Linked DNA regions of Styela clava. Each later gene encodes a partner of the first gene's protein in a complex. Links are inferred from orthologs where the notes say so. Each region holds a gene or a part of one and is shown on either strand. Other genes may lie near its edges.

What was found.
Region 2: the proteins of protein unc-45 homolog B-like (region 1) and heat shock protein HSP 90-beta-like are in contact, whole or in part, in a crystal structure (PDB 4I2Z), measured with the Caenorhabditis elegans proteins. The link is inferred for Styela clava from reciprocal best matches to the Caenorhabditis elegans genes unc-45 and hsp-90. Residues at the interface, in NP_497205.1 of Caenorhabditis elegans: Arg12, Asn16, Val19, Tyr31, Val48, Arg51, Asn52, Met55, Lys59, Val81, Lys82, Phe85, Arg86, Asn113, Asp114, Ile117; in NP_506626.1 of Caenorhabditis elegans: Ser696, Arg697, Met698, Glu699, Glu700, Val701, Asp702.

What each region holds. Positions count from the first base shown.
Region 1 is NC_135264.1:16,277,416-16,287,221, forward strand, and holds the start of protein unc-45 homolog B-like, read right to left. Parts: upstream 3,974-9,806; 5' UTR 3,065-3,973; coding exon 2,885-3,064; intron 2,595-2,884; coding exon 2,558-2,594; intron 2,060-2,557; coding exon 1,884-2,059; intron 1,163-1,883; coding exon 902-1,162; intron 694-901; coding exon 519-693; intron 1-518. Other genes in the region: thioredoxin domain-containing protein 17-like, read right to left, coding at 3,976-4,353.
Region 2 is NC_135251.1:21,554,797-21,565,193, forward strand, and holds the start of heat shock protein HSP 90-beta-like, read right to left. Parts: upstream 4,344-10,397; 5' UTR 4,320-4,343; intron 1-4,319. UniProt on the Caenorhabditis elegans protein: Molecular chaperone that promotes the maturation, structural maintenance and proper regulation of specific target proteins involved for instance in cell cycle control and signal transduction. Undergoes a functional cycle that is linked to its ATPase activity.

The DNA.
Region 1 (9,806 bases):
GATTGACATTTCAGGCCAGGGCTTGATCTTAGCTCTAGTGCAGAAGTGTTAAAGAGGGGGGGGGTAAGCATGAAATCCACTGATATCTAATAATATATAAGGAGCTTCTAACATTTTGAAAAACCACAATCTTTTCAGTCGGCATCGTCTACCAATTTTAATACCCCGGCCACAGTAGGGTGGGGGAATGGAATTTGAACCCCAAATGCAAAACCTGACAACATAGTCAAGGCAAAAGCTTTCAACTGTCAGGCTACAACGGCCCGCACTGCATTGAGATTAAATATACATAGGAGAAATTAGTTATAAATATAATATTAGGAAAACATGTTGTTAATCTTCATTTTTATAGCATTTTAAAGGTCAAACTCATTAAACATACAATAACTTCTATATGCATTGTTAAACTTTAAATTTGAAATATATTTGGTATTCAATATTTGAATATATATTTTTATGATGTATTGACTCTCTCTATAGGTGAGCGTTAATCCTGTCAATAAATCTTTTCAACCTACCAGCTCTGAGAGCATTTTCTTTCCCTCTGTGTTCTATCTTGTCCTCTCCTTGCAAAGCGTCGATGATTGATTGAAGAAGATGCATTGCAGCGGTAGAAAGCTCATCGTTGCCATTTAGTGATCCCATACAATGACAGATCCTTTCGATTCCAACTTCTCGGAGAATAACGAGAGACTGTAAAATGTGAATAAAATATTTAGCTTTTTAGAAATTTGAAATTATTGCTTTTCGTAACCCCCTCCTCCAGCTCTGAGATTTTACTCATAAACGCCTCATACCCTTCGACAGCACATTCACTTTTGTATTGAAACTCCAAAAAATTATGGCCCTTGCTCTGACAGCATATCAAACTCCCTTCAAAGCCCTGCACAAAATTACTTACCCTAGCCTGGTGGCCATTGCACAGTCCCGACATTGTTCTAATTCCGGCCAGCTTCACATCATTGCTTTTCGAGTCTGTAAGTTCCGCAAGAGCACTCGGACCACCTTCACGGAATATTCGTTCTGCTCCAGCCTCGTCTCGCGATAAGAAAACTAAATTTTCTGCAGCTTTTTTCTTTTTGTCTTCGTCTTCCAAACTTGAGTCGAACAAAATCTTGAACATTTGATTGACTCGATTTTCTGTTGAACGCTCCTCAAACATCTAAAAAATTATTTTTATTTAAATTTTTTCCATTTAGCTCCAGTGTCTCTTGAAGCATAAATATCTTTTACAACAGTGGTTTTCAAACAGTAGGGCACGCCCCCCAAGAGGGGCGTAGACAATTTTTTGAGGGGGCGTAGAGCTAATTACGAATAAACATATTTGTTAGATTTGATCTTGCCCGCTTTATTTGTTTTCAAAACTTTTCATTTATTTCATTATTTACGTTCCATCCATGTATTTTCAACGTGTTTTTCGAATAACCTTTCACCTTACTATCTGTTATTTGTAGCTTATTGTTAGCTAGTTGTTTATGAGGTGGGTCGCGAGACTTGACAAATTCTAAAAAAAGGGCTTGAAAGTTTGAGAACCACTATTTAAAAAGATCCAACCAGGGTGTGAGAAATTAGTAATACCGGAACAAAAAGACTTCGGTTTTTCAAAAATTGTAACTTTCAAATATCATTATATATCAGGACTTACAGTTTAATATACAATATTCAAGTAACCTTCATCATAATAAGATTAGGAAAATTGGGGAAAGCAAAGGATTCACATATGTTTTCTGGAGAACAGAAAAGCTGACAAGACAACCTAATCATATGCTAAACCACGACCTCTCATCTGGTTACCAGTCCATTTCAGGTAGAGGTTTAGCCAGTCATTTTTTCCTTGGAAATAAAAAACTGCAAATCGAAACGACTAAAGTGACTACACTAACCTTAACCTCCATCAGAGTTCTCAAATTTCCACAAACTGAAACAAACATTTTGTTCTTTGGTTCCATTTGCACAAGTCTGCGAGCATCTACATAGGCTGCGTTGAGTTGGCCCAGGTTTTCTAAAGCTTGGACTCGACGAAATAAAGCCTTCGTATCAGAAGGACAGATATTCAGTGCTGAATTAAAATGAAGAAGTTTCAGATTAACAAGAAATAAGATGGGTCACTGGAAGTATTTTTAAATATCTATCCTTGGAAGAAAAAGGTTACTAATTTAATCAGATAATATTCATATTAAATGAGTTATGTGTATGTGTTATGCATAAATAATAATTGATAATGTTATCGAGAATCGTCTAAGGGCTGAGGGTGATAATGCAGATTTCAATGGCACAACTGGTAGTATGGTGTGATGAGGCTTCTTTTTTTTAGGCGAATGGGTAAGCTAAAATAGTTCAATAAAGTTAGATAACTGTCATCTGAAAAAATCAGATAGACTGAATAAATTTCTATGTCTGTCATCCAATCATCTGATCAAGTCTGGGTGGTGATGAGTCTGGTATCAGAAAGTTGAACAAAAAACTAAGCGACGGACTCATGGCAATTATATAAAAACGAAACAGTAATGATGCTAGTTTAGAATCGAAGCTTAAAATAATGAAAATGATATCTTACCACTGGTAGAGTCTTTCAAAGCCTCCTGATAATCTTTCTGTAAAAATATATTGAAATTTGAATAAAATAATCATGAAAGAAATTGTTGTCATGCCAAGCGGTTTATTTCTATAAGCGGATACAATAATTGTGTGAACGTGTGTATAAGTATAATTGCTATATCCACTATATTTCTGAAATCAAGATTCCCGGCCATAGGAAATCAAGATTCAAGGCCATAGGAAATCCAAGATCAGTGACATAAGTAAGCATAAAGTCAGAGACTTTACAAATTTACAAACTAAAGTTTTTCAGACAATTGAAAATTATAAAAGTAAGAATCCTTACTGTTTTCAGATGACATGCAGCACGGTTCTTATACAAAGGCAGTTGATCAGCTTTTTTGTCTGCTCGAGATAACGCCAATGTATAAAGTTTTAAGGCTTCTTTATATTCCTCGGATTTAAAATGCTTATTACCCATCTCCTTGAGTTCTGCTGGACCACTGGTCGATATATCATTTGCCATTTTTGAAAGTTGTTGATAAGTAAAACTAATATAATAGAAATCTAAATTAAATGATAAATCAATAGAATAAAAGGCATAATGTGTGTGATACCAAATGATCAAATTAATAACGTAATGAAACGACAAATTTAAATACAATTCTAACCCTGCATTCAGCTGTAATCATTGTAGCATGACTGACCAGAATAATCTCATCTTGATATGAAAACGGCATTATTTTTGAATTTACACTTTTCGAGGAAGCAAAGTTTGAAACATATCAAAGGGTTGTCCAGCAGGACGAATTAGCAGCATTGGCTCAATTGTGTATGTATGAGATTATTCCGACCAGTGGCACCAAACCTAATAAAATTGTATTAGTAAAATCAAAGGTATGGCAAAACTGTTATCAAGAGACGACTAACAGATTAACATACAATAAAGATGGCAAGTTGAATTAAATACAATATGAAAAATTATGCATATTATCAACTTATATAATCATCGAATAGAGCAAGTTTATAATATAACTGAATAAGACCTTGATCTAAACAAGAGTGTAGGCTACTGCTATTGCATGAACAACCTTATTTGATTGCTACTAGTATTTTAATTGTTATGAGTTAGGATACAGATGAAACTTTAAGACATTTTTAAATCAAAAACTGGATTTAATGACATGTTATTACTGTATTCAGTATTAGTAAGAATAGATATAGAAGTGCACACAATTTTTTGAAATATTTTCCCAAAGCAAGTTTGCACACACTCTCTCGGAAATTAAGAAGGCATTGAACTGAATAAATGGGCAAAAATTATTGCCAGTGGATGTAAATTCTCAAATAATGTTAAGTCAATTGCACTTTTAATTAAACAGATTTGAAAATTGAACCTCATTGTTCTTGATCAATTTAATTAAGGGATGCCAGATTTCAGTCTTCAAACATCATGTTGATCATATCTGGATTGAATAGTTGGTCTTCAACTAGCTTCTTTGGCTCTCCCCACTTCAACAAAGTTGGCACCCCTGACAGCTTCAATTTTGGATGCACTCTGAAATCATTAGTCTTGTTTTTCCAGTAATCCCTTTGCCCGACATGACAATGTACAAAAACAGCCCCTTCTGGCATATTCGGCAAACATTTTTCGATCACAGGGTCCGCTTTAACACAATCTGGACACCAGTTTTTTCCACTTTGCGGGTCAACCGACCCAGAAAATAGACAATAAATCTCTTTTTTCTGTTCCTCCAGCTCTGAGATTTTACTCATAAACGCCTCATATCCTTCAACAGCAATTTGATTGGCCATTTTCAAAGAAAATGCACAAAATAATAAGACAATACTGCGTGTACTCCCAAAATTGTAAAACAGATAAATTACGAACAATTTGGTTTCACTACATTGCGCACGTGAACAGCTGCAACCAGTCATGCGTAACAATACTTATTTGGTATGTTATACTACGTCATATGAATCTATTCGAACTATCGTACGTAACTTTCTGACAGATTGACATATGACCCGGGGGAAAAAACTATTTCGTCAAATATCACCATTTGATTTGCTTAAAATTTCATCTAAATCAGCTTATATTTTTCCGAACCAATCCTAGTGGCAAGAGCTATGCCTTCTATTACGCTAATCGGCCTTAGTTTTAGTTTAGTATTTACTAGTTGTTCTAACTTGTAAAGCGTGGCTGAACATCTGAACATCATTGCTTCGGCCCCGACCGATCGAGACAAAGTCTACCCATCAAAATGTTTGCCCAATGGCCCTTATGCGTAACAAACTGCAGCGAGTATAACCCTCCATTCACTACGAGAGCACTATACGGTACTTCTGACGTTGGGCACCAAGATGTCACACAACTTGAACCCCAACCTGGTACAAAACCTGAGTTCAGGCTGTGAGCCTACTTGGTGCGCATACTTGAGGGGGTCCTACTATCAGTACTATTCTAATATTCCAATGATAATCTGTAGAAGCTAAAAAACACCAAAACAAAACCCTTCCGCTTTACTGTTGTTCTAAGATCAAAAACTGTCGAAGATTTGTAAATCTAAGATATGTTACGAAAAGAACATACAAAATTATATGCGTACGAGCTGCTATCGGCTACCTTTCTCATAACTAACTATATAAAAACTTATCAAGCTTCGACCTTTTATAAGAATTCACTATCGAAAAGGGCCGTAAAAATTGCAAATTTTCGCACGACAAATCAAACGCGCATAGAAAGGCTTCCAGCATCTTCTTTCGCAGTTTCCTCTGATGCAATTTACGATACCATAAAGTGCAATATAGCCGATGCGATGAAACACAGACGCAGCTGTCAATGCGAAGATACCAGCTGATAGCAACTGAAGATTCGAGAATATATCTGTATGACAATAAACTGACAAAATTGGTACAATACTTGCTATAAACTTGAAATTCGTTTATTCATCGGGAAACTTATTATTTTGAGTACATTTTGTTTGACGAAATTCGATTTGGAATTTGGTTTTAACCATTGAGGTGTATATATATAACACCTCAATAGCTTTAAAACCTATCATATAATTTACTACTTTCCGCATGGTGGCGTTTATGAGTTGTTTTATCAATGCAATAATTTACGACATGCAAACGATTGTTTGGCCTTGAAATTTGCTGCCTTTACGGTGGGTACATATAACAAACAAAAAACAGTTATCTTTTAATTGATTTTAGTTTCCATATTAAATCTGATATAACAAACAAATTGTGAGAATAAATACGAATTAGCCGGGTAAAATACCATTTGTTTGTTCGCTTTGGTTGGGCTTCTGTCATGGATAAGCCGATGTTGGATTCCGGGGCGCCATGGAGTGTTGACTATAAATACGCTCTCCTTCGCCATTCGTACGCAAGCATCTTTAACCTTGACATAGTTAGCTATTTTTCATGCACGATCCGTGATATGATTAGCCGCATTTTTATATTGTCCGATCACCATTTTTCGGGACTCCCTTAGTGTGTGTACCGGGTTAGGGTTAGGCAATAATTTTATTCCCATTTTTCATATTTTAGTTTTATTAAAAATTCGGGTACTGTTTGTGTTAGTTAAGTGAATATACCCCCTGTCTATAGGCTTCAGTCCCTTTACACAACTTGCTAAAAGTAGGCGTAAAGTAGGCGAACAAAATTACTTACCTTCATATTTGTACACACACTTCTGGAGAGCCCATTTTTCTCCTTCACGAAAATCCTATCTATGCAATTTTGAACATTTTGATCGTAGATAAAAAAAATATCAGAAATGTGCTTTTCTCGCACAAAGCAGAACAATATCACATTTCTGAACATATTTTGACAAAAAATGGCAAACTAAAATACTTCAAAATCAAACGTGCAAATGATTCTGAAATCGATACCTAACTTGGCGCCGAAGCTCGTCACGCCATTGCTAGAAACTTGGCATTGACCCTAATGTCTGAAGCCATTTCATGGTTTATCTTACCCGTAACCTTTGACCCCTGACCTTTACAGTCTACTCTTTATTTACTTAAGTAAATCATGCATGGCGCTCTTAACCCCAGTTTCGCTAAGTAGTCCCACCAAGTGAAATGTACACAAAGAGGTCGTCTCCAGTGCAACCCTTGTTTTCTAAGCCCGTAATCCCTTAAGCATACTCGATGAAGGTTACTGCGTTATTTGATGCATTTGGCTTCCGTTAGCGGTGTTGAATTTAGCAACGACCGTCAAGAACGTTTGGTTTTTGTTTTTGATTAATTTTCCTATTTTTACTGCTAGTTATTCAAAACTGAAATCAATTTGGTGTAGTCTCAACCGTGCAGGGTATTTTCGAGCTTGGTTTTTGTCAATAAGATTCTCCTATAACAATATTATCATCAGTTTTTAAATTTAAATCGAACACTTGAACACATCAAAAATATTGAACTTCATATCTGTGGTTATTTAAGCTTTTGAAAACTTAAATGAATAATATTTCGAGTCGATTGTGTTAGATATTCAATTGTTAACTATTAAAAAACGGTTATCCTGTTCATTCTGGGCAAAGGCATATTTGTATATATTTTTAATTTTGCTTTAATTAACTTTGTTGTGCCCGTTTGCCTGGATGGCTAATAAAAAACGATTTGATGGATTGACTGATTGAATTTGGTCATATATATAGCCTTAATCGTTGAGGGGTATTGAAAAAATAAATTGCACACCCGGGTATTCTAATAATAATTTCGGTACAATATTGTAAGTTATTTCTTTTTGGATCTACTCGACGTTCAGATGAGCATTATTAAATATTTACTGCGATGAAATTAAAATCTATCGTGAGCTCAATTTTACCTGAGGTATTGGTAATGAATAGGGAGCCAACATAATTTTTCTTCTTCTTCTCATTTTCCATGTTTTTTCCAATTTTTTACAATTTTTAGAAATTAAATGAAGGATTTTCGTTAACAGTATGAGATTTCGATTACACAAAAACATAAACCCCAGACAAACTCACATTTAATTTATTTCTTGATCTATTCGATGCTATCAATTTTGTTCATATTTATCCACTGTAATACTTTTCCATCCAGTTAATCCTTGCTAAAATGTTTAAGCAGTCGGGTCATAAGTTCGTACTAAGTTTTTGTTCAAAATCGAAAGCTACCTAAAGTGGATTTTAGGATTATTTTTAATCCGTTCAGTCAATAAACGGTCGTATTTGAAGATTATGGCTAATGATTTTCAGCCTAACGATTTTCAAAGTATTTGAAACAGCAGCTTCACGATAATTCGTTAATTATTTTTAATATACAAGTCCGAAGGGTATTGAAGACTCGTCTTTTTGAGGTCTATATGAGCACAGGGGCATAACCTATGGTTGCGGATCGAACACCCAGAAATGCTAAATGATAAAGTTTTATTTTAACTCATATGTTTGGTCCCTTGTACATACTAAGAATAGGGATTTCTAATGTGTACCCTTCAGATACGAATTAGGCTATTAAGCTATTTAAATTCCAGTGTATCTGGAACTGTCGTTTTTATGAATGAGTATAGAGTTACCCAAAACTACGAATTCCCTACTACTAAACAGTTTTAATATAAACAAAACAATATTTTTTTCATTTATCTTTTATGGGGATATTTCAGCGTGTATCATTTGGAAACGAGGAACTTGGTTTACCCAGATTTGTTGAATTCATTCTCATTCGCAAGTCGTTTTTAAATGTCTTGCAGTAAAGAGTCGTATGTAAAGTTTTCTCGACTACACAGCCTGGTATCAGGTACGCAAAATAGCAACGAAACAATAAATGACAAAATTTTATTTTAACGCATATGTTTGGTGCCTTGGACACACTAAGGATAATAATATTAATAACAATAAAACAACAACAAGACGATTTAGCTAAAAATAAGACATAAATTCTTGAAACTCAGATTAATAAGGTAAAATAAGATTCCTTGACATATAGAGCAAGGATAAGAAAAAAATCAGATGTCATCACTTGGGGGCAAGTAAAAATAATAGAGAAATATCAACCTAAGGGGATGAAAGATGAAAGCCGATTAGAGGGTATTCCCGTAGTGTGTGTACCAGGTTGAGTTAGATTTTCCTTCTTTTAGTTCTGATACGAGTTCGGGGACTGTCTGTGTTTTCAAAGTCCACATGCCCATAGATTTCAGTCCCTTTACACAACTTGATGTAAAGTATGCAAACAAAATTAGTTACCTCTATATTGGTACACACACTTCATGAGCGCCAATTAGGCAGCTTAATCGTACGAATTGTGAACCGGTTATTAATTAAATTAAATTCAAATATCTTGAATCGCAATTTCACAAAAGAGCAGTAATTAGCCGTGGGCTTCTCTAAAAAACCATATACATATAACAATATGTGTCCTAAATTTGTGAGCACTGACTTTGAAATTGTTGTTGAAAAGTTGTTTTTAAAAATACTGCGTTAAGTTGGATAAAGAGCAATGTTAAAAACATATGTTGTAGCTGTTCAGTGAATATATTTTTTTTTCTGAGTTCCGTCAGACGCCAAGTTTTTCAAAATCTTCTTTGATGGATGAATGTTTGAATAGAAGGGGTGCTTTCAAGTTGGATAAAAGATTGTAAGGTTTAATATCGCCTGGTAAATGATCAGAGTGTATATATATGCCTTTCAGAGTTAAACAGACGAAAAACATGTCTGAACATTCGATGGAATACTTTCTAGATGTCTAAATTTTTGTAAATTCTGCCCAGGAAATCCGATACTTCGGTGAGCATTATATTGTATACTGTTTTTCAAGCAAATGTCAATCAAGCGTGACTGGCAGAATATAAAAAAAAACATACATAGTTATTTCTATCACGTGAAAATAAAAAGAAAATTGGAACATAATAATTGTTCAACCCCCTCATTTAACAAAAAAATAGTGCTATTGATGACGTAATTTATTACATCACAGTAAAAATGCTTCTGTCGACTTTAGTGTCTCGTAAGTGTGACGTCACAGTATTAAGTCTGTTGCGTCACATATACCGTGACAACGAACACCTTTCGTTTACATACAATAAAATATCTTTGTTACGTCATAAAATGAATAATTACACTGCCTTCTTTAGATTATTACCTCACACAAACTATAATGTTGGTTTAACAATGATTAAAAATGCAATGGAAAAGGCGGGAAAAATGATTTAAAATACAAAAAAAATATGCGGGAAAAATAATGCAGGAATTTTGCTCGTGGTATTTAGGCAGTGGTGACTATCTGCAACTCAAAATATAT
Region 2 (10,397 bases), on another chromosome or scaffold:
CCCGGTTGGCCCTATTGACGCGCCGCCACTGATGAAATATATGGGCATGCTTCGTTGGGGCCAAGTCTTCTATTTATTCTTATTAATAAACAACAAAATCATCTAATTCAATACGTTCCCAGATCATTTCTATTTAGTACAGTGCTCTTCAACCTTTTTGTTATTGCGGAACCCCTGAAATAATTTTTCGTTTTTTATGGAACCCCAATTAACACAATTGAAAAAAAAAAAAATACGAAATACTCGTAACACGAAATATTTGTAATTCAAATATTTCTATTTCAACAACGAAACAGAAAGAGAGTAACAAGCGTGAAATTCGATGACTAGGTTGTTCTTGCATTTCCTTTGCAATCTTCTTGAATCGTGGCTCCACGGCGCTCAATGCAATTCTCATATACTCATGTCTACACTCTTTGCACAAATTATTTTGTTTTTAATAGTTGTTAAAGCAGAAAATGCTGATTCACACAAATAGGTATTAGGAAATTGACACAGAAGTTTTGATGCTTTTTTTGGCAATTGCTGTATCCGCTTTGTGGAGAGAAATCTAAAAAAATTCTTTCTCATGTTTTTGAGGGTATTAAAAAGTCGGGTTGCACACTATTTTTACTATATTCCAACAAAAGCTGAACAACATGTAACTATGGTGCGACAATGGCGTTCTTTTTTTGTTAGTTGCATAACAATGACTAAAGTGACGCAACAACCGAAAATATTTTTCTGCACTGTGACTAAACCTCCTATTCAACAAGTTGGCCTACTTGTAGTTTAAATGAGACACGGTGGTCTAAGAATATTTATAATGACGCATCAACATGCTGAACCAGGAAATGCTTTCCCCTTAAAAAAAAAAACGCGGAACCCCTAAGAAACCTTATAAACTCACGGAACCCACTGCATGTGTTGCGGAACCCTAGGGTTTCGCGGAACCCCTGTTGAAGAGCACTGATTTAGTACCATAAATATGACAATCAGAAAAATTGTGATATAACAATTTGACACGTAACGACTGAATGTGGTTCAACTGGAACACCAGTTGAAATCCACTGCCCGAGGAAACAATAAAACCCCATTTTAACGGTTATACCGTAATAAAACCGTCTTAACAAATTAGGTATTTCATGAGAACGTTTCCCATTATTTGTGTGTTTGATTTCTTCGCTTTCCTCTTAAGAAAAGATAAAATTTTACAATGATATTGCAGACAAAGAGATTTCAGTCTAAATAAATAATTAATAATCCAGATGATATGTAAGGAACAATCGTCAATTATAGAATGAAAGGATTTTTGAAAATTTGAGAACAAAATTACTCTATTTAATTAAGGTTTTTATCCTGTGGCGTTATGCTCAATAATTACTGATGGAAAGAAGATGTTGCGAATGTATTATTAATTAACGCAGGTGTTTTATAATATATATTACCTTGTCGTTTATCCTCTGGCATTGTCAGCCTTGTACAAGATTTGTTTTCCATTGAACATTTTGTTTGCCACCCTGTGATTGAATCAGGCATTTATCTTTTCTCCGTGTACTTGGAAAATGAAAATGATTTTTGGAAACAGAACGGTTACTACAAATCAGATTCTGAACAATGGCAGTTGGAATTCCAATGTATCGGCTACTAACCATACGTTTATGGACATGAATTCAACAGTTGCACCGAGTCCGACGTTTAACTTCAGCCGTGAGGGTTCGAACGATTATGTGGTCAATATAACACTGACGTTATCACAAGCAGTGATAGCAATTCTCTTTTTACTATCATGTTGGATGTTAGCAAGTTTTGTTGTCTACTGTATTCATAATGGAAAATGGAAGAACAAACAAACGACAAGTTTTTTCACTGCAAAACTGTTGTACATTATTTATACTTTAGTTCTAGGCGTCCTAATCCAAAAAATGGTATCCACGCAAGTTTCAATCCAGGCAACTCGGGGTGCAAACTCTTCGTCTTTATGTAAGGCAGTCGATACTGTGTCAAAAGTGTATTACTCCATCATTACATATCTCATTTATTTCTTTTCATGGGTGAGACAAAGAATAATTTATGAAAAAGGAATCTTTTCAGGAAATTATATCTCTCGCCTAAGTTGGGGAATATTTGCGATACTTCCATCAGAATTGATTATAATAATAAGTAAGTTGATTATATTTGATCGCTTGCGGTCAGTACCACAAGGTTGTCTAAATATTAACAACATCGATAACGGAGTCCTACGTATTTTCATGCGCCTTCCGTTGATCGTAGCCCAAATCGCCATTCTTGGCCTGCTTGTTTACGCGGTTGTCAAGAACACCATGGAATACAAATCAAAATATCATGGCTCGAAATGGATCGTACTGTTTTGTGACACAGGAACTTCGAAGTCTAATGAAGTACAAAAAACGATTCGTCGTGTTCTTATCTGGGCATTCGTTGCTGTTATCACGGACGTTATAATTGGTGTGATGAATTTACGATTGATTCCAGAACACTTTCCTGTTTCAATTCGTGCGACAATGGGAGACATAATGTCTTTTGTCAATGTCATTTGCATATCCATGACATTTGAAGACAGATGGCAAATATTGAAAGTTTTTTTCCAGTGGAAACAAAATAAGGTTGCTGCTTCTGACTTGCCAACCAAGCCGACTACAATTCCGCAGACAAAACCAATTTGTTCCAATGCAGACAGACGTATTGGTCCATATTGTGAAGAGACCGTGTAGAAAAACTATATAAATATATATAGGGTTACCATATTTTTTTGACTTCAAAGCGGGACGCCCCCAAAGACACGATCCTTTAGCTGTGATCCTGTAACTTTACAGTTTCCGATTTCACTACATAGGCCTACATTTGAAGCCATCCCGACTGTCTTCATTGACCGCATTGTCATCGAGAGTTCATGCGCATATTCTCTGTCTAAATATCTGGTAGGGTTCGAAAAAATAGAAAGGAATAGACGCTAACGATACAAAAGATCCAAATTTAGATTTTTGTATGTACAGCAAAAAGAATAAAGAAATAGTCTGCCGTTTTCAAGCATTGAGATTTACTTATTCGCCCAAGCATGCTTTTCTGTAGATAACACCTTCAAAAACACGTTCGAACGTCCGAACAGGACCAATTAGAATTGATTTCACACGCGATACGTTCGCTAACAATGTTAGCGGGAAACAACGAAACAAACAAAATAACGTATTAACCTTCAGTACGTAGGCTATCTTTGCGCTACACAGCAACAACAGTAACGAGAAAATGTTCGTGTAATTATGCTTGATGGCTGAACGCCAAAGCGGGACTTTTGACTGACTTGTCGGGAAGGCGGGACAAGACGCTAAAAAGCGGGACTGTCCCACCTGAAGCGGGGCGTATGGTAAGCCTATATATATTGAAAGTCTCAGGACGGTCGGCGCATAAATTGGTGTGGAGATAATTTCAATTGGTACTGCCATAAAGAAATATTGAGGCGGGACTAGATTTATATTTTCAAACCAACTGATGTTGAAGACACAGTTTTCATAGCACTTCATTCATGGCAATTGAACTTTGGTGTCCCGAGGTTGGGTTTTAATCCGAAGTGCAAAGATATTTCAAATTTGTGACAGATTGTATCAAAGTTTTATTCTTTATTCTGTGTGTAGCTTATTATTTGCATGAGATGTTGTGTACGTGTGATTAATTTCTTTACGTACCTAATGTTATTTGTATATGTTTTTGCTTACGTAAATATCAAGATCAATTTTATTTTATATCTTGCTTAATCGGACTCCTATTTCCATCAAAAATAAAATTACACTGGGTGCGATAGCGTGGTATTTACGGTATTGTATGTGACTAGGATGGCATTATATGATGAATATTTAGTATTCAAACAACATGCGCCCGTCCTAATCTTGTTGCAATGAGCCCTTAGGCCACATCCACGGTCGTTTGCACGCAAGCATTGCCAAGACGAATATTTTGTTTATGTTGGTTACATTAAAGTTGGGGATTGTCGCGAGAATTATTGCTTTTTCCGGTACTCCCGTAGTATGTGTATAGACCACCAGGTTAGGCCATAATTTTATTTCGATTTTCCTTATATATTTTAGTTTTAGTACGAGCTCAGGGACTGTCTGTGTTAGCCAAGTGAATATCCCCCCGCCCATAGGTTTCAGTCCCTTTACACATGTGGCGTACCAAAATTGATATCACCACTCAGGTTCTTTCTGCCAGCTTCTTGGACACTGTAATTGCTATAGATGACGATTGTAAATCACCTTCTTGCGGTTCCAACTGCAGCAAAGTAACTAATTTAACTATTTAGATTAATTATACACCTGAAAGAACTTAATACAACCAAATACTCCAATAAGAAATACAATAAACAAATAAAAATACACGGAACACAAAATAGGAATTAATCTATGACGTCACAGTCATGAATTATTGACCTGTAATGGAATATACAAAAACCAGGCAAAACATACCTAGAAATACATACGAATAACTAGTATGACACTAAAAATACAACACCAATCCTATTTTACCGACAAACACTTAATATACCTGGCAATACACATAGAAATACGGATATCACACCGGAACTAAACTGCGAACGTAGACTGGTTACGAAAATGTTAAATACAAGGTAACTAGTGAACAGACTCAGAGCTATGCCAAACTGGGGAAACAGCTAACCTGTAGTACTACTAACAATCTACAACAAGAATTACATAGATACACGGTCATAAAACACTATAATAATAACCTAAAACACAGAGGAAATTCCACACTGCCGGCACTCTGACAAACCAGCAAAAAAGGAAAGATACTCAATTGCTTACTAATGACTCGTTTCTAATGACTCAAGTGGTAAGAATAAATATGGGCATAAAGAATAGAACAGAGTTGTGGACGTGGTCGTCTCACACAACTTGATGTAAAATAGGCGTACAAAATTAGATACTTCCATATTGGTACACATACTTCTGCAGCACCATTTTTCAGCTCATCTCAGCAGCGCCGGATTAACCATTAAACAATATAAGCACGTGCTTAGGGCACAAAGCAAAGAGGGGCACCACAGAAATTTTAGAACAGAATTTTATATAGTTTATCGGTGTTTATTAAAATAGCACTAGTTCACCAGACGACTTAAACTTCAAAATGTTCGCTTATTTTTCGTCTTCAAGTGTCATATTACCTACATTATTAAAAATACACACTGAAACTTTTTTTTACACGAAATGGGCCTTTGAGTCGTTTATTTAAATTGTTGTTGTTTTTTCATTTTAGTATTCTCCTTGTTGCTGCATTTTTGTTTTAAAAAAAATTTTTTCTCTTCAACAATTGGACCAATGAACTATTTACACTCTGTGGCGGTTCCACGATCGCATTTCAACAATCTAGTGGTCAGCGAAATCGGGAGTTTTTTTTGATAAGGTAGACCAGGGTGGTCCAAACCCTGTTATGCTTATACATTCCGTGCGGAATAGCATATATTTGTATCTAATGGAGGAACGTTTTTGAGTTTTTTTAGCTATTCCAACTGGGGTTGGGATCCCGGGATAACGCTTTGTGCCTTTATTTTAGTAAAACCCTCCTCTGTTTCCAAGCGTCGGCCACGTGACAGTAGTGACGAAACGCAGAGCCGACTCAACGCCGCGCAATCCAGTTTTTTTTTTAGCTAGGTCCCGAAATACCAACTTAGACAGACTTGGTTGGTTTTTGACAATAGCACTAAGCTTGCTCACCAAATCTCAACCGCCGCGACCCCTTTCTCTTCAACTGAGCTACTGGACTAATTGCTGTGAAATGTTCAGTGAATAGAGATTGTTGTTGTCACCGAAGGCTAACATTTTTATTTATTTCAAAAATTTCTGTGGGCTCTAACAAATATGGATTTTTATTCAGTCAGACGTCACATGAAAAAATGCACAAAAATTGATACAAAAATAAATATACCATCAACGTCTGTTGTGCGACAAACGTCTTCTTCAAGCAGTCGTGTAAAAATAACTGCATATGCTAAAAATATTGTAGCAATAGTAGTGACGGTGAACAGATTTTGACTCTAATACGTAAATTATTAAAAAATTCACTGCAAACGAAATTTTGCTAAGATATATAATAAAATAAATAAAAGAAAGTGAGAAATGTATACAAATTACAAGGAAAGCAAACAACAAACAAAGAAAAAATGGTTACAGCAATGGCAATTTAAGAACATCGTATATAAAATTAGAAATAGGGGAGTTAATAAAAACTTCAGGAGAATTTGCAACAAAACCTATTCTGAAAACAATATAACGTTTATATAAATATTTAATACATTACACAGAAAATGGTCCTAAAATGGCTTTCGTAATAATTTACCATCTATCAGGATCCTCAATGAATTTTCCGTTAATGACTTTAATCTAATGACTTTGTGTGATCGATAGTCAAAATATTATTGCACCTTCCAGAGTTCTGACAAGAAAAGTTGCAAAAAAGGACATGGCCCATCAAAGAAAATTTGCGACCAATAAAAATTGGAATGAGCTTCATATGTCTCTATCGTCCAATACAGGGGTGTAGTGGAAAGTGGGGAAGGTTGAGACACATTTTTCTTTTACATTTGAGACATACATCTTATCACCAAAATGCTTTAAAAAATGTTTGCCAAGTTTCCCACTGTACTCCACTTGTGGGGCACATTCGGACAGGGAAAAAATGGGAGAACTTCAATTTTGTAGATTTATTATTTTTGAAATCAATGTTCAACCAAAATATTTCATATATTTTTCGAAAAAATTCCGTAAACAAATTAAATTATTTCCTTTTTCGAATCCGATAATATACTTGATTCTTTAATGTATTCCATAACGCAAGAAACATAACGCATCTCTAGGCCTCTAAGCACTTAATGGTTCAAACACTGTCGAATTGTGCCCAGTGGGGCATGTCCCGCTAAACCCCGTTCCATTGTTCTCCATAAAGAAAAACAAATACGTCAGACTTTCCAACGGCGATATTAGGAAAGCACGTCCACTCGCCAACGTTATGAACATTTTACAGTGGACTAAAGCTAAAAAAAATATCAGTCCGTGGTTTGTCATGTTGAAACGGATGAGGTAGAAAAAAGAAAAAAATGGAATGGTGAAATTTTAGTTTCAACCCCCCAAAACCAATTTAACCTTATAGCTTGCGTTGCTCTACACGGCCGTTGTCCGTTTACGGGGACGTTGTAACCCACCGGAGGGCGGATTCAAACATCGAACCGCAGACCGGATATAGTATGAGAGCTGATTTTCCACTATGCCCCATGTCCCAACGTGGCCCACCTTCCCCTACAACCTATTTTCTATAGTCGGTCGCGATTCGTTTCTGTAAAAGGACTAAGACCGCCAGTGATATCGAGATTCTTCATGAGTTAGGTATGTTTAATCAAAGAATTTAATTTGACTGGATAATTCCTTGATCGAAACGAGTTTGAAAATCCAGACGTGAGTATACCCCACACTTGGAAACTATTTGTACCTTCAATTAACCCCGTCTTGAAATCGTTTACACCATTTACTCGAGCCACTTGAAAAAAGTGGTGTCGTTATATTTGGGTCCAAATACGCGTTTCCTCAAAAATAAGACGATCTTATTTCAATTTTTCTTTGAAAAATAACACTGAGCTTCTTTTGGGGGGGAGGAGGGGTGTCTTTTATTTTCATTTATTAAAAACAAAATTACAAAGTAGAGAATTATGAGATTTTTAAATATAAAAAACATGACTATATAGGTCTTATTTTATGGGGGAGGGCTTATAATAAAATCATTTTTAAAATTCAGGCTAGGTCTTCTTTTTTGGGTAAACACGGTACCTTGTTACACCTGTGTTGTATAAGCGTAACATTTTTCATAAAAAAACTTCTACGGGCCAGCTTGAGGCAGTCCCTATAAATAAGCGTAATATTATTAACAGGAACAAATTTGGTTTCAGAAACGACCATTGCATGAAACACAATAACATTGATGCAACTGCTATGATTAGCAATAGTATAGAATGGCAATATTGAACATGTTTCCCAGCCACGAAAAAAACATTTTTTACCGTTGCGTAAAATCTCTGAAAAAGCACACTTAGTCAATATATATTATGTGGACTCCCGTTTATTTCCATCAATAACGTATGAGGCTTTGATATTGCACCAACGTTTTTTTTAATTTTTTATCTTCATTAATAATACAGGGTTATGCCCTTTACAGTTTTGTTTTTAGTCAGTTCTCAATATATCTTAATCAGGTTTGTTGTTTTTCAATTGGTAATTGTTCAGATATTTTTACTTCATTTAATACATCTGTGAGGGCCAAAACAATATCTGGTATCGATAAACTCACTTTGCAATTTTAAACAATTTCAAGTCCTTATGGACACCCAGTATAATCAATATTTCAATATGTAGCTGGATACTCGAAGTTGCAACAAACCGAATCTATAAGTTATCTCGGCTTGGATACACTAGTAGTCTAGTTGTAGGCTAGTTTTCGCAGTTAGCACCAACCAGACAACTCCAATACTAAGTTTATGCTCTGATCATTGTTGATTGGAAACATGTTTAACATTACATTGCATCCGGGTGGGGCCTGAACTCTTGTCTTTACCAGTGATGCGCGTTGTCTCCGTTGGACCTTGAGCGTCGTACCACTTGGTCAGTGCATTTGAACGCTTGCTCTTTCCATTTCTTGGATTGTAAAATCTTATTACTTTTATTATATTTGCAATTAACTTGGAGTCTTAATGCATCCGATATTTGACCCTAAATTTTGCTGTTTTATTTTTATTCATGAGAACACTTTATTCCGTGAAGTTTCGGTATACTTGCACGACGTTTTGTTCGGTGCACAAAATCCCGTGTTTTTGAAAAGACAAATTTTGTTTTATCGAAACATTTTTCGTCGTCCATACTTATCGTGCAGTCGAAATAAACTTCTTGTATCCAAGACGTTTTTTTAAATATATTTTGCATTGGCTATTTTAAAACTAATTGTTCTTTGTACCCAAAACTTAGTTAGGGCTTTTTGGAGACTTATGCTTGAGTTTTATCTGGAGATATCACGCTAAAGAGGTATTCCTTAATTAATGATATTTCAGGTATGCGCGACCTGATGCCCAAAATTTGTAAATTAAAAAAAGCATTAAACTGAATTTGTGTCTAATGGAGAGTTAAGCGCTAATTAGAGCTAAACACATAACGTTTTCATTCTATTATTGGTATTTGTTTCTCACGTGTTTTAAGAAATACTAATTATAATTTATTTAGATCGAAACCTCGTAATCTGATTATTAGCAATATCGCGCAACTAAATTACCATTTAGCCACCGAGATTTATGTTGCGAATACATTATTAAAACTCATTATATTTCATATTAACGGATCAGGCGATCGGAACCGTTAAACATTTATGTGCTGGTGTGCGTGTTTTACTGTAAAATAACGTATGTTTGTGTACTATATTGGAGCTTGACTGTTACGTCTTTGATGGAAAATAAACTAGACTCGAGATTATAAAAGGTAACAGTTGTAAACATCGCTCCGTGTCACTAAGGCGGAAATGAAGTCAAATATCTACATTTTCATATCATTACAAATCGGAATCAAAAATACCCATACGGCAGCTTCTGGAACATGATATATATATAACGATGACGCTACTCGTTGAAAGAGCCAGCTTTTTCGATGGATAATAATTTTTCACGTTAAGCAAAATACATTCACGATCAATGCGAGCATTTAAAATATCTTGTACATCGTGGGCACGAATAATTGTTTTAACTTCGGTAATTATGATATATAATGGCTCAATTTTGGCGGTTTACAATGTCTAAAGTAGCGTTTTTACATCTGGCACGGAATCCTAAAGCAAAAGTTAAGGTGTATTCCGTTCATGTTGTTAATATTTTATACCACAATTTTAAAGTCCCAATATTCACTCCTTATTTTCAGTTGAAAATTTTTAGTTGCAGATTCACACTTTTAATTATATTTAGCGTCTTTATGTCGATGATCGCATAATAACGAGTATTTTGAGATAATTTACCGACATAATATCGATGTTAACGGCCTAAATAACCGCGTCAAGCTGACGAAAACAATCGGCGACGTGAATAACATTAGCGCTGTGAAAACAGCAAGCGTTATTAGCAAGGTCTCCCGGAAATGTTGAAAAATCAGCGGGGATTTGGGCTGGTCCTCTCGCTGCGCCAATAGCAACAGTAATTAAAGTAAGTGTCAACCGGTGCTCTGGCTTCTCTTGAGACTGTAGATTAAACTATCCGAATATCGATTCGATGAAAATATTTGATCAACCTTGGACACTTTTATTCAGTATATTTGTTCAAATTTAACCATTTCATAAACATTTTGGACCCAAGCCAAGGAGATATATGA